Linked DNA regions of Arabidopsis thaliana. The main gene of each other region encodes a partner of the protein of the gene in region 2 in a complex. Each region holds a gene or a part of one and is shown on either strand. Other genes may lie near its edges.

Region 1 (4,958 bases), on a different chromosome or scaffold from region 2:
AGTAACATTAGGAATTGTAAAAGTAAGTTTATATGCATCAAATCATTGTCAATGATAATCAGTTCGCATAAACAAAATCCCATATTTTTGAGAAACTGGCGAAAATAAAATTGAGCAGAAGAACAAATTTACCGTTTCTTCGGTAACGGCGGAAAGAATCAAACGGAGAAAGAGGATCGTCAATGGAAGAAGCTCTTTTTATAAGGTCATGAATCGTCTTTTTCTTCTCCAAAATCTGCACGACAATTCTCAATTATCGATTTCGAACAAAATCAAAGATCGAAATTTCGAGTGCTATGAAACATACACATTACTTCCGAGATTTTTTTTACCTTTCGCCGTTTCTTCAAATCCATTGCTCGCCACACCGATGATTCTCTTCCCTCTGTCTCGTTCGTTCTCCACGTCTGAAGTGATTCGGTAGGAGACGGATCCATCAAACGGGTTTGGACCCGAAATAGATCCGACAATAATAAATGACGTCAGCCCAAATGTCGTATTCGTTCAAATTCGATAGAGAAGCCCAACTTTCTATATGGACTATTAGAGGCCTTTTTGTTTTGTTTGCTCAAGTCAACGGGTACTATCTCAAGGAAAAAAAAAGAGTCAAAAACTTTGCAAAATTGATTTCACTTTGATATATGGTATAAAAATTATCGAAAATGAACGCAAAGACACAATTAAACAAAGTTTGCAGTTTCTCTCTGGCACAAAAGATGATTTTAGGTACTAGGAGCTTTTCTCTTCTTATCAGAGGCAGATGAAGCATCATCAAGTTTAGACTGACCAAATACAGACCTGCAAATTTCCAAAAGCTTTTCGATATTAGTATCAAACAACATGATAGATTGTTATCTTGAGAAAGAACATGACGGGTCAAATCTCTTACCCGCAGGTTGAACATTTCTTGTGATGCTCACAGAAAATGGACAGACACACTGAGCATATGTAGCCCATATCTATTGTCTTCTTGTGGCAAAAGCACCTGCAAATTTTGTACTTAAAACCATCTGTTATATATGCAGAGGAAGACCCGATTAATTGAAGAGTTAATGACTTGATCACTTACGATGCGCGAAAATCTACACCTATGGGTTTAGGAAGTTGTACAAAACCGCGGGAGTGCAAATCGGTTGCAAAGATTGTCTTTTGTGCAAAACAAAACAATCCAGAGTTAGCAGCCATTGAGTATTGAGTTCGCTAAATGAGAGACGAGTCACATAATGGTTTGCGTTTGGACTTGAGTTGCGTACCGTTAGATATTGAAATAGCCCATCCAACTGTTTAGGTGTATGATGTACACCACCAGTTATATAAGATGCCTACAAATAAGCCAGGAGATAACAGCTGACGCATAGGTCCAGTTTGACGAGTTAGAATCATGTATAAAGGAGAAATGATATTACCTGCTGCAAAAATGCTGAGTTCTGTACACCTATGTAACACGAATCAATGGGAACCTAAAGAACCAATTGATGAAGTGATTTGGGTACATGATACTGGATTTAGAGAACATCAAGAACCGGAAATCCCAAAGAACCAATCAAAATGAAGATTACCATCAAGCGTTGGGCAGAGAAGATAGAGTTCATAACAGCAACATACCTGAAAGAATGACAAAACCTTTTAATGAGACCAGACAAACAAGACAAAATCTTGCAAGTAGAAAAAAAATGAAGGAAGAAACATACTGTTCCGGGCCATCTGGGGAACCTTGCAAGCATAAAATCTGTATTTCATATAAACGTCAATAGCACAATCAGTTCTGTATTTTGGGGGTATACGATAGAACAGATAACACATAAGAAAAAGGAGTCTATATTCTCATTAATACTTTAAGCTGAAGATTCATACAAAGCAATCAACATGAAAAGTTTTATCCAAGACAACTGATTGATACATATATCCTACTGAACACTCACCCGAGGCTGGGGATGAAGATGTCCAGAACGGAAAACCCTCTGTATATCTAGAGCCATAAATTAAGTCAACAACAAAATGTGAAGACTGAAAATCAAATACATATATTACCAGATAACATTGATGGCCTTAGACATGCTATAGGTTTAGCTGAGAACAAACATGTCAACCTAAAATGTTCCTTACTTAACCCAGTCTAGAGAGAAAGCTAAGCTTCAAGATCACTGCCAGAACTTATGCAAACAAATCCTAATAGTTTGTACTATATATAGCTTCAAGAAACCTATCATGATGCTATATGCTTTTCCAAGAGGATACAGCAAAGAGCCATGGAGAGTGATCCTGACAAGAGACAAGAAGGTATTCTATCCTCAGACACTTCCTCCTTGCTGAGCTCCTCATCTTTGGTAACAAACTCTTCCAATTTCTTAAGCAAAGAACCAAAAATTGCAGGCATTCCAGTTCCATTGCTCTCGAAATTTCCATGATTTGATGTCAAAGACGAATCATAAATGTAATCACAAGAACTGTATCCAGTAGCTATAACTACAACTTGGTTCAACTGATTTAACCCCAAAACCGCATTAAGAAACGCAAGCACCTACACATAACAGCAGCAAGCTTTCTGCATAAAAATCGAAGCATTGAACAAACAAACAATAGATTCGTTAGAGACACTTACATGAGAAAGGAACTGAGAGAAGGTAATCGATGTAGTGCTCCAGAAAAGAGGATTCGTATCAAGCAACAAAACTAGAAGACTAACATCGTCTGCGACCAAAAAAACAATCACGAGCCAATCAGACTTGTTTCCAGTTTTTGGGATATCTAATCTACATACTTATACGATTGAGGAATGTGAGGGTTTCGAAGTAAGAGGAATTTAATAATAACCTGAATACTGCTTAGAAGCAATGGCAGGCATAGTTTCACAGACGATTCCAAGTCAGAATTTCAGTGTGCCGGGAAATCTTCCCGGTGGGAACGAGATCTGATAATGCTATTTCAGTGCCGGGAAATCGTTTTTTTTTTCTTCTCCAATATATCTTCACAACAGGTCTTTGAGTTTTCCGATTACGAACCAGAGTTAAAGAATGAAATTCTCGGATGCTATAGTAACTTACTGAAAAATTCAAGGATTTTTAGCTTATACAGAAATCTGAAGTGATTTGGTAGGAGCCGGATCCATCAAACGGGTTTGGATCCGAATCAGATCCGACTATAAACGTCGTATCGTAAGCCGGGCTTACTAAGCCCAAATATGGCATTAGTTCAAATTTTTAGATAGGCCCAGTTTTCTTTATGAACTAAACCGCCTTTTACAAGGGCCTTTTGTTTTCTTTGTTCTTTCTTTTGGAAAAGAACACCAAAATCTCAAGGAACAAATTTATTTTTCAAACTGGCTACTGATACGAAATTCAGTTTATTCAAGCTTTATACTATCGGACGTCGATATATTAATTTTAATGGTAAAAAATTTTGGTTGAAATGTTGTTTGTTTCAATACTAAAAATTAGTAAATTCACACATGTCCTGATATCCAATCCATCCTATGAAACTATAGTCATGTTTGGAGATCGTCTTGATATATAATACATGGGGCATAAAAAGCTTACTACATTTTTTTGGGAGTAACAACTAACAAATAAACAAACAAGTTTTTTGGTTGGAAAAAGAAGCAAATCACATTCATAAAGGTTTGATTGACTTCATATAATTTGATTGTTATTCATTTGATTGACTTCATATTATTTTTATTCAGTATTCTTTGGATATATACGCGCATGACAATCGACATGCTAAATACTTGTAATCCGTAGGGTCATGTGTGACTGTCCACTAAGAATCTGAAGATCTAATCATAGTTTTTACTAAAATCATATTAATAATTAACTTGGCAATATTAATGGCGATGGCCATTGGAAAGCTTTTGCATGATGGCCTAAATATAACTTATTGTTTGGTCATTTTCATTAGAAGTCCTTAGCCTCCGAGGTACATTGAACCTCACAAATTCACATTAAACTTTAAAATCTCCTATAGTTTAGTATATGAAAATTATATAACTAAATTCCACCAATGTCTTTATGAGTAAATAATAATCTTACTATCAAGTCAAATTAATATCACTAAAATAAATGTTTTGAAAGTATTATTATTTTTCAACAACAATGGATTATGTGTTTGAATGTGAAGATAACGATTCTGATAGGTAACACAAAGCTTTAAAGTTGTTTTAGCTGTAAATTAGAATGCAAAACTATATAAATAAGTAGTACAAAAAGTTAAAAATAACGTTTTTATAACGCTTTTGTAATTTGTAATATCACGGTACATGCTGTACCAAACTTTGATAATTGAGTTACCATTCAAAATCACTAAAACAAACTCTTTAAATGCATATAAATCTAATCATTAATGCAAAACGTTAAAAGTAACGCTTTTATAACGCCTTTGTAATTTGTAATTATCACGATACAGGCTGTAACAAACTTTGATAATTGAGTTACCATTCAAAATCACTAAAACAAACTCTTTAAATGTATATAAATCTAATCATTATTGCGTAGATTTATCTCAATATACACAAGCCACTATAGCCAGGTTCCGGGTAAGTAGGACAGATAGCAGTCCCATGCATTTAACCTCGTGCAAGATAAACATAAACGGTAGACACACTAGTTGCCATTTTTAGATACAACTCAACAAATAATAATTAAGATAAAGAACAAAAAAGAGTGATTAACATTTAATGGAAAGATTTATTAGCTTCCCAGGCTCCTCACTTAAATCCCACTCAAGTCTCCATATAAAAACTGCAACTTCCATCACTCTTCGATCACCATCATCACTCTCTCTCTCTCTCTTCTATTTCCATGGCTCTTGTTCGTAAACGCCGTCAAATCAACCTCCGTCTCCCTGTCCCACCGCTCTCTGTTCACCTCCCCTGGTTCTCCTTTGCCTCATCCACCGCCCCCGTCATCAACAACGGAATCTCAGCTTCCGATGTCGAGAAACTCCACGTTCTCGGAAGAGGA
Region 2 (6,243 bases):
CAATACAGGAGGCTCAAATTGAAGACTACTTCAAACCGATAGACAAGCATGCTAGTACCATAATGGAAATTCAGCTCGAAGGAGAGAAGAAAACGATGGGGACAATGATGAACGCAACACAACAGGAAGCTATACGAAAGATTGAAGAAGCTGAGAAACTCGCTCGGGCACGTGGAAATGCAAATGTGACTACAGATGCAAACATGGGAGATAAGATCCAGGATTCAGAGTCCTCAGCCAACGAAAAATCTCAAGCAAAATGAAGTCAGATCTTGTCTTCATGTTGACACAGAATAGATTCAGCGTCTCTGAATACATCCTCTTAGTTGATTAAACTGAGATTGTAGCCTCGCATTTGCTGAGGTTTTAATAATTTTGAAATTTGGTCAACTGAATAGAATCAAAACCGAGATTGTGTTCTGTCTAGCGTACAAGAAATTATAGAGGTGACCCTGGTTGGACCATCCCCAACGACCACGTTTTGTCAATATATGTTGTTTCAAACTTAACTTCGCCTAATAAAGTATATTGTGATTTACAATGGATCGGTCTTACAGCTTAAAGGTTTCAACTTTCAACTTCGTGGGTACCAACACCAAGTACTTTTCCTACGTTTGGGGTGCGCATGTGTTAGCAGGATAAAAACGATGGTAACTAATAGAGTAACAAGACATCAAATGGCTACTCTTTTTTCTCTTTCTGCTGAAACCTCACGAAAGACATAGTTTGTAGAATCGAAGCATGATGTTTTGTTTTAATACGAGAAGAAAATGTGAGTTTCTTCTTGTTACCTGCTTTGGGTATGAAGAAACTCACGCATCTGATTGTGAACTTCGGATTTCACAACAAGTCGCATTCTCTTAGAGTCTTCCCAAAGAAGGCCTCTCCATTCCCGAGCAAAGTCACAAGCTGCCTCAAACACATCCTGCTAACATGATTTTGGTTAATGAGATTTACTATAACGGTTTTGCGTTATGGAGAAGAGAAAATAATAAGAGGGTTCAGGTTTGTTACTTTTGAAGGAAATTCATCATAGAAGTGAGCCTGGGTCATCTCAATTCTCTGCAGATCTGTCTCCCAAAGCCGAATCTGCCAGAACAATGCATTTTTATTCAACATAAGCCTGATGAATCAGGACGTAGAGATAGTATACACTTTCAATTCTATAAACCAATCCTATACACATTTTTGTATAATCGACACTTGATGGGCATAGAGAGTATAAACCTGATCAGTGACATTTTCTGGAATAGATGGGACTCGATCAGCACATCGTGGATGAGAATTCTGCTGGAGGAAAGTTATAATCTGTGACAATCAAAAGAAAAGGAAAAAATATTTATTCAGAAACTATAAAGAGACGCATCAACAATTTGATCAACATTTCAAGGACAGTGAGGATCCGGGCAAAATCATGTATTCGATAACTTCAAAATGTTTTTCAACTGAAACCAACTGTACCTGATCTGATGTGATGCCATTGTCAAATGCATTGTACAAACTTTCCTTTGTAATGGCACAAGCAATAAGGTTTGGAAGTTGGTACTCTATCCTGGAAATAATGAAGCACCAACTACTTAGACCTAAAGGATTTTAAGACACAGAAGAGTAAAGTTTCAGGTCGATGTTCAGGAGCTTCTACCTCGCAAATAGTCGTAAAATTTCACACTGTAACTTAGATGTGGAGTACGCATACATTCTGAAGTTTGTTTCCATCACGACAAATCCCTGATGAGGAACAACAAACAACAGCGATACACAAAATCAAGAAAATTGTTGGTAGCAGGTAGATATGGGACAAGAGGGGAATAAAAAAGGTGTGACCTCTTTTCGCGCTGATGAATCTGCCAGACTGACTGATAAATTTGTAGCCAGTTTAGTAGGAATAAACCAACTGTCTTTCCTTCCCTTCAATAATCATAAAGACTGGCTCAGCATGTGATATAGTTCTATAATCATAACTTTAGCAAAGTTTTTTTTCTTTTGATATTTGGTAATAAAAAAAATATTACAAATGGTCTAAGTCTAACCTGTTGAAGCTTGACTAATCCCAAGTCTGCAAGGTCCTTGAGGGTATTGTTTTGAACCTCTGTCAAGGTATTTAAGTTATATGCCTGCAATGTGTAAGCTCACCGAAATAATTAACAAGCATCCCGCTAAATCAAGTAAGAGTAAAAACAAGAACAAGAACGCTTGAAATGACTTTTTTGTGAAGTTCTGTTATACCTGACCAGTAACATGAAAACTAAGCTCCAACAAAAACGAAATCAAGTCTGCTGGATCTACATCTCGCTCCTGAGAAACACTGGCATTGGGTTATCCATTCGGCGAAATAGAGATATCAATTTCACAAAACCTTAGGAATAATACAAACCTCGGCATTCAATATGTATTCTCGAATAATGTACCAAAGCTGGGCATTTGTATCCATCAGCTGAAAATTGAGGTCAATCAGGTTACTTACATGAATACAGGTAATTATAGACCACTGACTCACGATTTGCATACCAAAAACTGAAAGCCACTCTCAGTTAATCTCGGGCCATCTTTGTCTCTGCAATATTACATGAAGTGTATCAAATAGGGAGGCTATATGCCACCACTATGCATCTATAGACGTGTATGAAAACATTACCTCTGACTCAATAAACCTCGCTGAAAAATTTTCATCATGGATGAACTGATGCCAGTTAGTTTTTCACCTTGACCCGAATTTATAAGTTGTAGCAAGAAACACTGACAAACATAAGTACACATCATCAGATACTAACCAAGTTCATATTAAAAGATATTTGTTTTACAAATTACTTCCACCTTACTAGTATTATCAATAAGAAATTAGGAAATACACACACCTCCCATTGCTTAAGTGCATAGGTTTCGAGTTCTTGTAGGCTTGGAAGTTTAATGGCATTGTCGGAGTTCATAGGCTCTCTAGGCAAAACTCCACTGCAAAATTCAAATTTAGCTCATCAGCATCTTCTCCAAAAGCCTAGAGAAAAAACGAAAAAGGAGAGTACCGTCAATGTAAAGATGTCTTTACCCGGAAATAATATGTTTCTGAAGATTGTTCTGAAATGTAGGATTTAGGCTGTAGCTGGTTCCCCTTTTCCTGCAAAAGTACGAAGAGCAGCTTAAGAACTAAATCTGAACTATCATCTTGCCACATACAATCATAATCAATCCAAACACAGTAAATTGAAGTATAAGATGAAGCTCATAGGGTTCAATGCTCAAGTTAACATCCACCATCACTCTTTTAAATAAATATATCAAATAAACCCTCCAACGTGAATAGACAGAAGTATTGAACTAACTGAAATAAGTCAAATCATGACAGTATCAAGAATAAAGCAAGAATGCATACCTATCACTAATTTCTGAAAAAATCCTTAATTGAATCAGTCGATCAATAGCAACTCTATGTTTAGAGGTGCCATCTGCGAGCACCCACTCCTCCATCATCGTAGCAGGTACAGGAACATCAATGTACAACATCTGCAATACATACTTCTTGGCAAGAGGCGGCAAAGACCTGACACCATCTTAAGAATGTAAGATCCTCAATTTTTTCAAAATTCAACAACATAGACACATAAATTAACCTGAGAATGGCTTCGCAGATAAAGACATTGTTGTAGAGTTTGTCAAGCTTGATGGCTGGAAGTGACGCCACCATGTCCATGAAATTTTTAGCAATGATCTTAACTTGCGGCATCTTCACCAATTGGATTCCCTTACTCACTGGACCGGTTCTAAAAGAGCACAGTTTCCACGAAATTAGGGTTTATGCCACACAGCGATCAGCTCGAAGCAAACCTAGTTAACTAAAGCATCTCCTCAAAAAAAACAAATCCAAAACAGTTCTAAACAAGAACTCCAGAAAACAAATAAGGAAGGATTTAAAGTTTCGGGTTCGAGTTTGAGAACAATACAGAATTGAATTTAAAGTTTAGGTTCTCTCTTTTCTCGATGAGCTCTTCTACAATTGATCCCGATTATTTACTACCCAGAATCAAAGAAAACTGACGAAATCGATCGAAGAGGATGGCCAAGATAAATTAAGTTTTAATGGGCCTTGTGAATACTACTAATGGGCCTATCTATATAACAAAAATCGCGCCAATTTGTTTTCATGAAAATGGTTGATTAGGGAGAGATATATGCTTGACTGACCAAAATGTAAACAAAAAAAGCTTACGAAACGTTTGATCATCATCTGATAAATTGATTAGTACTGATTTATTCCATCAAAATCAAACTCATACAAACCATTACAATCTTCTTAGTGAGACACAATACATAAATTATATATGAATCTACTACGATTATTTATATTATCATCATTAATTATATTGTCCTAGAGGGCATTATTTAAATATATTAGCCATTGCATACAGAAACCATAATAAATACTATATGATAAAAACACACTGATGAAAAGTGAATCAATTAAGTAAGTAGAATGTTGGAGTCGTAGGTGGCTCCGGCAGTCCAATCAGCGGGAATAGCGTTTGGCGATTGGATCCAATTGATTCCTGCGCTTCCGTAGACTAAGAACCTCAATGTGAGAGTGCCTCTAGGTGGATTCTGCAAATCATGAACCGCTCCAAACACTCTTCTCATACGTCTCCACTCTTTGCAATCCTCCTAAAATCATACATATACATGCATACCATATAATAACGTTTAACTTTGTTTCACAAAATCATCTAAGAGTAAACTATATATTTTGATCCTCAAAAACATATATCTAAGTTTCTCAACATCTTTGATTAAATTTACCTGCCAGACTTCAACGGCGAGGATGTCATTAACACCACCAACGTACAAGACAAGGATGGCAAGATAATGAGGATTGTAGCTTTTCTCATGGATCTTATACACCAGATTATACCCTGCGTATCGGCAAGGGATCCTTTGGTACTCAACGTTGACTACACCGAAGGAGTAGAGCTGATTTTCTGTGCCGGGTCGCGCCATACGTCCGTACGCCTTAGGGCTTAAGATGAAGTCCGTGCCATCTCCTTCTCCGGAGTCCGTAGCCACTACGTATACTCCTTCCTCACTGCAGTGTGGTGGTATCTTGCACCTCACCTTTTTATAATTCATAAAATAAGTTTTTTTTTCTTTCATAATATAAGTTTAGTAATTAATGACATAGCATATACTATAATAATATTTGATGAAATATTGATTGAGATAAGTAGATAACTATATATAATAACCTGGTAACAAGCACCACAGCCAGTTCCATTGTTCCATAGTCGCCATGAAACACCACTCACTTCACCGTTATTGATATCTCTTCCAAATTCTCCATACCCACAATGTCCCCCTGCATCATCAAAAAATTAATTAATTATTCTTATTCTTTCGACAAATATTATGTATATTCTCATAATGGAAAGTTATCATTACTAATTACGCAGTTAATGGACACTTAGTGGACTCGTTTTCAATCATATATGTATTTAGAATTTGAATAAACCTTCAAAATAAAACAAAACAAGAAACCTATACGTAGATATAAAACAAAAATAATTAGTTATGGCTTATAGTGAGATATTACACCAATGTATCTTTTACCAATATATAACGTGTACAAGTCTATACAACAACTAAGAAAATGAAAAAGAATTAAGGTACACGATGTATATAGCAATAACAATTTTAATACGTACGAGGATTTGCTTTGCAATCGGGGCTGCCATAATAAGTAGCTCTAGAGTTAACAAAATCGTCGGATAGACAAAGGAGAGGCAAAAGGACAATGACTTGAACAAATAGAAGAAGCAAAACGTGAGAATGCTTCATATTGTTGTTATCTTATCTATAAATATTGTAAGATTATTAATACTTCTAACTCTTTTTCTTAACAAATGATAGGAATTGATAATAGAATTTCTTATCACAAAAGATAGTGAAGATAGATGAGAGACTTAGTAGGGTATTTATAGCTGCAGCTAGAGTGCTTATTACAATTATACAATTGATCGAGCATCGTCACTATTTTTTACTTTCCACTTGGCAAAAAGCTTAAAGCTAACTCAATTTTTTTATATAGTTTAACTTGGTATTAAATTAAATGTTTACATCATACATCTGCCAATATAGCATTAGGGTTGGCATAAACCCAGTAGATTCAAAAGTCGATTCTTATTATACGCAATTTATTCTTTGATTTTTGTAGTCTAGATTAGTTAAGGAGAGTATTAGATATCGAATTATCAATATAGTAGT
Region 3 (4,491 bases), on a different chromosome or scaffold from region 2:
TTTAAACTCTTGATTCACCGGATTAGCTATAGACACAATTTTTTCTCCATGAGATATATCATCAGAATCATGAAGCTCTCTTCCACTATCATCCAAACTATACAAAACAAAAGAAACAAGATTAAACATTCTTTTTAGATGATTTGGATTACCGAGCCCTTAATATTATTAAATCACCCACCTGGTGGCCAAAGCACCCGTATCAGAGCTTTTCGTTATGGTTATCTCATCTTGGCGCATCTTCAGCGTAAATTCCGAGACAGAGGTAGTAGAGTATCTTCTTCTTAAAGGAGATCGAGATCGCTCTCGCCATTCATTCACCCTCCGTGGAGTCGCTCTTATTTTGAGCGGAGGAAGTTGATCACCGAGGAAACCAGAGATGGCGTCTTCGAGATTCCAGTCGAATCCTTCAAGGTAGTAGAATGCTGCATCTTTACACGCAGACGTTGCCTTGCAGAACCTAGTGACGTTAGTATCTTCTTCCTTCATGGTGGTGTTAGGGACTTTTCTCAAAGATTAAGTACGTTGTTTACTTATGACAATCACTAAGAATTGTTTCACTTAGATCTAATATAAAAGCTTCTAACAAACAGAGAGATATTTAGGGAAGTAGTTGCGACCTTGTCATGACAGTATCAACAAACAACTGATGATACGGTCTCCTTTTGTTTACCACCGAAATAATTCTTTATTACTACTGTTCGTTTTCTCATGAGTGAAGAAATTTCAAGCCCAAGTTAAATAGAAAATCAAACAATTAAGAATGCTATCTCTGAAAATTTGAGTCGGTTTGTTTTGGATCAATTGTGAGAGAGCAATAGAGTCCACAAAAGAAGAAAGATTTTGGTTAAGGACATAAGACCAATTACAACATCCTATATCACAAAAAAAATTGCTTCCTCTCATCATCTCAATTGTGATTTATAATTGGAAGTGTGAACACATTCATTCTCTCATTCTTCCATCAAAGAAACTGATTTGGGACGGTGAATGCTCTCACAGCCAGGACAGTTGTGTAAGCTCTCGTGGATGTATATGTCACAGTCCAGACAGAAATAGTGCTTGCATTTACGACATGTTACGCATGGGACGGGTTTATTCCCTAAGCAAAAAACAAAAGCACCAATGAGCCTTTATATTTGAGTGAATGGATCGGTTACTTTGTATATACTATGACAAGGGTGAACCGTATCTTAAGTTCAACTACTGGTCTAGTGACCAAATGGTTATTCAACCAACAGTATTAAGACTCTATAAAATGGTGTTCAAGTAGTTACCTGCACCAATTAGGCTCTGTTGGCAACCAAAACAACTCTTTCCCAATTTTCTCCGATTATCATTCAGACTTGAAAGTGCAGGCACCTCATCAAATGGAGCAATCGGGAAGAGATGATGGTATGATCTCGCCAAATGCGGCGAAGAAACAAGTGTTAGACCGCAGATAGTGCATTCCGTAGGGAGGTCACATACCCGAGCTTTGCATCTTGGGCACATGTAACCAGCTCCAATCTTAACTTCCTTATGACACGAACAAATCGCCATTGAACCCTCAGCAGCTCTTTGTGGGAAACCCATCTTGATCAAATTTGCAATTGCAAATTCTGCTATTGCCGGAGGTGGAGGCGCATGTTCAAGCAGAAGATCCTTTAGATGCACCTGCGTGAAAAGACAAATACACACAAAGCACAATGTTATACCATACAAAACAAGTTTTTCAAAGGTCCAAGTGTAAGTAGAAGGTAGCTAAACTCACCTCGTCCACTGCAACTGAATACAATCCGCCAGTTTCCTGGCAGAGGTGTTTACATATGAACATTTCTGCAGAGAGCCCAATTACAGAACATCTTAATTTGGATTTCTTGCATTTTTGAATGGTCTCCATGATATCGCCTGGATCACATGTGCATAAAGCTGAGTACAATATCAGAACCTCGCGGTGACCATAAGATGGAACCTGGTTGAGATGCTCATGTACAAGTTCCAGAGCGTTCTGCAAAGAGGAGTCACCCAAAGCTTCCAACTTCCCCATCAACGCTTTGATGTGAGTCTCAGGACTACCACCAAGATCTGTTAATGTATGCGCAACTCCATTTTTTATAGAGACCAACCCAATTTGACTCAGAGGATTCTGGTCAAAGAACTCTCTAATGAAAGCTTCGACATGTTTGGCCATTATAGCCATCCGGCTTGGTCTGAAATCCATTTCCGCAGCTGCCTAGACACGACAAAACAGTCCAAAGTGTAAGACTTTGCATACCTTGGAACTAGAGAAATTTGAACCCAAATCATAATGTTGCCTTCAATAAAGAATCTGAATAAGGATCACATCCTTAAGCTCTACAAACCCACTTAGAGTAAGATTATCATTGCAAACAATACAGAGCCAATTATAGAACCTATTGAGAAGACTAAAGAGCAGAGATCTCCAAAACTAGAACGACGATTACATTAAAGTTACTTATCAGTGACCCAAAGTGCATAGTTTCTCTTTTATATAAGCTCTGATGAAAGCAACATAAGCTCAATTTCACGCCATCAAACTCAAAGGAAACGGCATTGAAGCTAAAAATCACAAAATCAGCAGCAGCAGCGGCGGATTGCAAAGAAAAATATTTACCCGAGAGAAGTCAATGACGATGTAGAGATATCGAATAAGTCCCTTTTGGATACGAGTACCAGCAGCAGCGGCGGAGAGCATACGAAGACGGCGGCGATACTGAGCATGGTAAATGGCACTGTTATCAATTGGCCGTAAAAGTCCAGACTCATCCTCTTGCAACTCCTCCCAGGATCGGTCGTCAACATAAGCTCTCTCCCACTCGCCGATACCTTCCGCATCTTCGTCGTCCTCTTCTTCTCTTTCATCGTTTGATCTCTTTCTTTGATTACTCATCGTTAACCTCACCGTCTAAGAGACCTAATTACAAAAAGAAGAAGAGAACTCTACTGAAGCCAAAATTTACATAAACAACCCTTACTTATTATAACGTTCACAATTTTGACTGTAACTTCCTATTCTGTATATTTAACCCACCAATCCATGTCCAATCAGAAGTGAAACATTTTATTTTGCTTACACAATAGGAAACATTGATATTGAAACTCATAAAAACTTTATTATACAAAACTTAAATCACTCGATACAACCTTTATACAGCAACATTGAAACTTCTTAGTTCTTACAGCACAATATGATAATTTACCTAAGATCTTATTGAATCTTACAAACATATAGAACTTCTTCTTTGACTTTCTCTATCCACATGGTTACACATTAACCAAAGGTCTTGGCCTTTTAAGATTTAGGTCCCAGAATTTTCGAAAGCTCCTTCAAGATTGGTTTCTCCTTGATAGTATTACCACCTTCATTCTCAATATGCCACTTCTTCGACATGTTTTCAGCCTGAAATTTATGGTCTTTTCGGGTTAGTCTATTAATGATTATGATCCACTTCAGTTGAGAAGATGCAAGTATCTTTGTAAAACATTACCCAAGTTCTTAAGGGCTCTACTTGTTCCTTCATCGACTCCAGTTTTGGCTGAAAAAGATCTTTGCCTTTCGTTCTTATGTCATCAGCCTAACAGAACGAAAATCATACAATAAAACCAAGTAAGGCGATGATGGCATTCAAGATCAGTCAATAATGCTTAGAAATGCTAATCTAAATGATTTAAGTAAGAAAATGGAAACATATGCAATCTTACATTACGCATGTCAAGTTTCGAGGCTGCCGTTCCAAAAACCAAAGTGGCTGAACCAAAGATGATAATAGTAGCGGCTGCAAATGCTTTTCCAACTGCAGAAACCAGAAAAATCAGAGGGCTCGAGATTAGGCAAACTTTCCGAACACTTCACGACATCAATTAACATTAAAAGACAAAAGACAATAACAGAATCTCAATCTAAGCAATATTATCAACAATTTCTAGGCTGTGAGAGAGATACTTAGATTATTTGTCATCAGAGTCAAAAAGAGACAACCAGAAAGCAGTTGTTACATTAGACACTCATGAACCCTCAGCCACGGAAAATCTTGGCTTTCATAACCAAACAAACCAAAGTTTTCTCTAGTAAGCTGAAACCTTTCAGAATTACTGCCATTGCAGTCCCTAACAAGGTAAAATAGACAAGTTTGGGCAAGCAATTTACATGATCAACATTAACAAAAGCAAGGAAGTGAAAACAGAACACGTAAAGATAGCAATCCTTCTATCTCTAGCAAACAACCCAAATCTAGTCATGTTCCTCTGTAGGTAACTGTATCCATAAATCCAATTATCCACGTTCAAAAAGATTTGATTTGCAGATAAACAAAAGAAGAGAAGTGATCATACTATGTTGAAGCCCTTCACCAGCAGCTTTCAATTTCTCAGGATTTACAGGAGTGCCGTATCTGTCTCTCCTCAATTCATTAGCTGTTGACGCCAAAACCGAATTCTCAGATTCCGGTAAATCCCATCTGCAATAAAAATCGACACAAATTAACAACA

The links.
Region 1: AT4G17020 (region 2) and AT1G18340 share a complex: the UniProt entries of both Arabidopsis thaliana proteins name them as parts of the 7-subunit TFIIH core complex.
Region 3: AT4G17020 (region 2) and GTF2H2 share a complex: the UniProt entries of both Arabidopsis thaliana proteins name them as parts of the 7-subunit TFIIH core complex.

The regions. Positions count from the first base shown.
Region 1 is NC_003070.9:6,310,890-6,315,847, forward strand, and holds AT1G18340 (basal transcription factor complex subunit-like protein), read right to left. Parts: upstream 3,043-4,958; 5' UTR 2,846-3,042; coding exon 2,815-2,845; intron 2,692-2,814; coding exon 2,603-2,691; intron 2,522-2,602; coding exon 2,239-2,521; intron 1,970-2,238; coding exon 1,923-1,969; intron 1,730-1,922; coding exon 1,692-1,729; intron 1,606-1,691; coding exon 1,560-1,605; intron 1,461-1,559; coding exon 1,407-1,460; intron 1,323-1,406; coding exon 1,254-1,322; intron 1,147-1,253; coding exon 1,070-1,146; intron 986-1,069; coding exon 890-985; intron 799-889; coding exon 723-798; 3' UTR 554-722; downstream 1-553. Other genes in the region: AT1G18335 (Acyl-CoA N-acyltransferases (NAT) superfamily protein), read right to left, coding at 133-235, 333-437; MKK7 (MAP kinase kinase 7), read left to right, coding at 4,797-4,958. UniProt on the Arabidopsis thaliana protein: Component of the general transcription and DNA repair factor IIH (TFIIH) core complex, which is involved in general and transcription-coupled nucleotide excision repair (NER) of damaged DNA and, when complexed to CAK, in RNA transcription by RNA polymerase II.
Region 2 is NC_003075.7:9,577,365-9,583,607, forward strand, and holds AT4G17020 (transcription factor-like protein), read right to left. Parts: upstream 4,076-6,243; 5' UTR 3,719-4,075; coding exon 3,606-3,718; intron 3,536-3,605; coding exon 3,368-3,535; intron 3,113-3,367; coding exon 3,044-3,112; intron 2,950-3,043; coding exon 2,856-2,949; intron 2,737-2,855; coding exon 2,636-2,736; intron 2,555-2,635; coding exon 2,509-2,554; intron 2,435-2,508; coding exon 2,375-2,434; intron 2,296-2,374; coding exon 2,227-2,295; intron 2,115-2,226; coding exon 2,031-2,114; intron 1,909-2,030; coding exon 1,825-1,908; intron 1,729-1,824; coding exon 1,643-1,728; intron 1,553-1,642; coding exon 1,462-1,552; intron 1,309-1,461; coding exon 1,228-1,308; intron 1,090-1,227; coding exon 1,015-1,089; intron 926-1,014; coding exon 792-925; coding exon of another isoform or gene 788-791; exon of another isoform or gene 703-787; coding exon 609-702; coding exon of another isoform or gene 575-608; 3' UTR 511-574; downstream 1-510. Other genes in the region: AT4G17010 (transcription factor IIIB), read left to right, coding at 9-263; EXLB1 (expansin-like B1), read right to left, coding at 4,453-4,650, 4,786-5,097, 5,229-5,338, 5,685-5,817. UniProt on the Arabidopsis thaliana protein: Component of the general transcription and DNA repair factor IIH (TFIIH) core complex, which is involved in general and transcription-coupled nucleotide excision repair (NER) of damaged DNA and, when complexed to CAK, in RNA transcription by RNA polymerase II.
Region 3 is NC_003070.9:1,447,960-1,452,450, forward strand, and holds GTF2H2 (general transcription factor II H2), read right to left. Parts: upstream 2,943-4,491; 5' UTR 2,894-2,942; coding exon 2,618-2,893; intron 2,216-2,617; coding exon 1,754-2,215; intron 1,657-1,753; coding exon 1,278-1,656; intron 1,103-1,277; coding exon 954-1,102; 3' UTR 672-953; downstream 1-671. Other genes in the region: AT1G05040 (UBA-like domain protein), read right to left, coding at 1-97, 182-489; AT1G05060 (coiled-coil protein), read right to left, coding at 3,296-3,403, 3,492-3,578, 3,706-3,797, 4,336-4,460. UniProt on the Arabidopsis thaliana protein: Component of the general transcription and DNA repair factor IIH (TFIIH) core complex, which is involved in general and transcription-coupled nucleotide excision repair (NER) of damaged DNA and, when complexed to CAK, in RNA transcription by RNA polymerase II.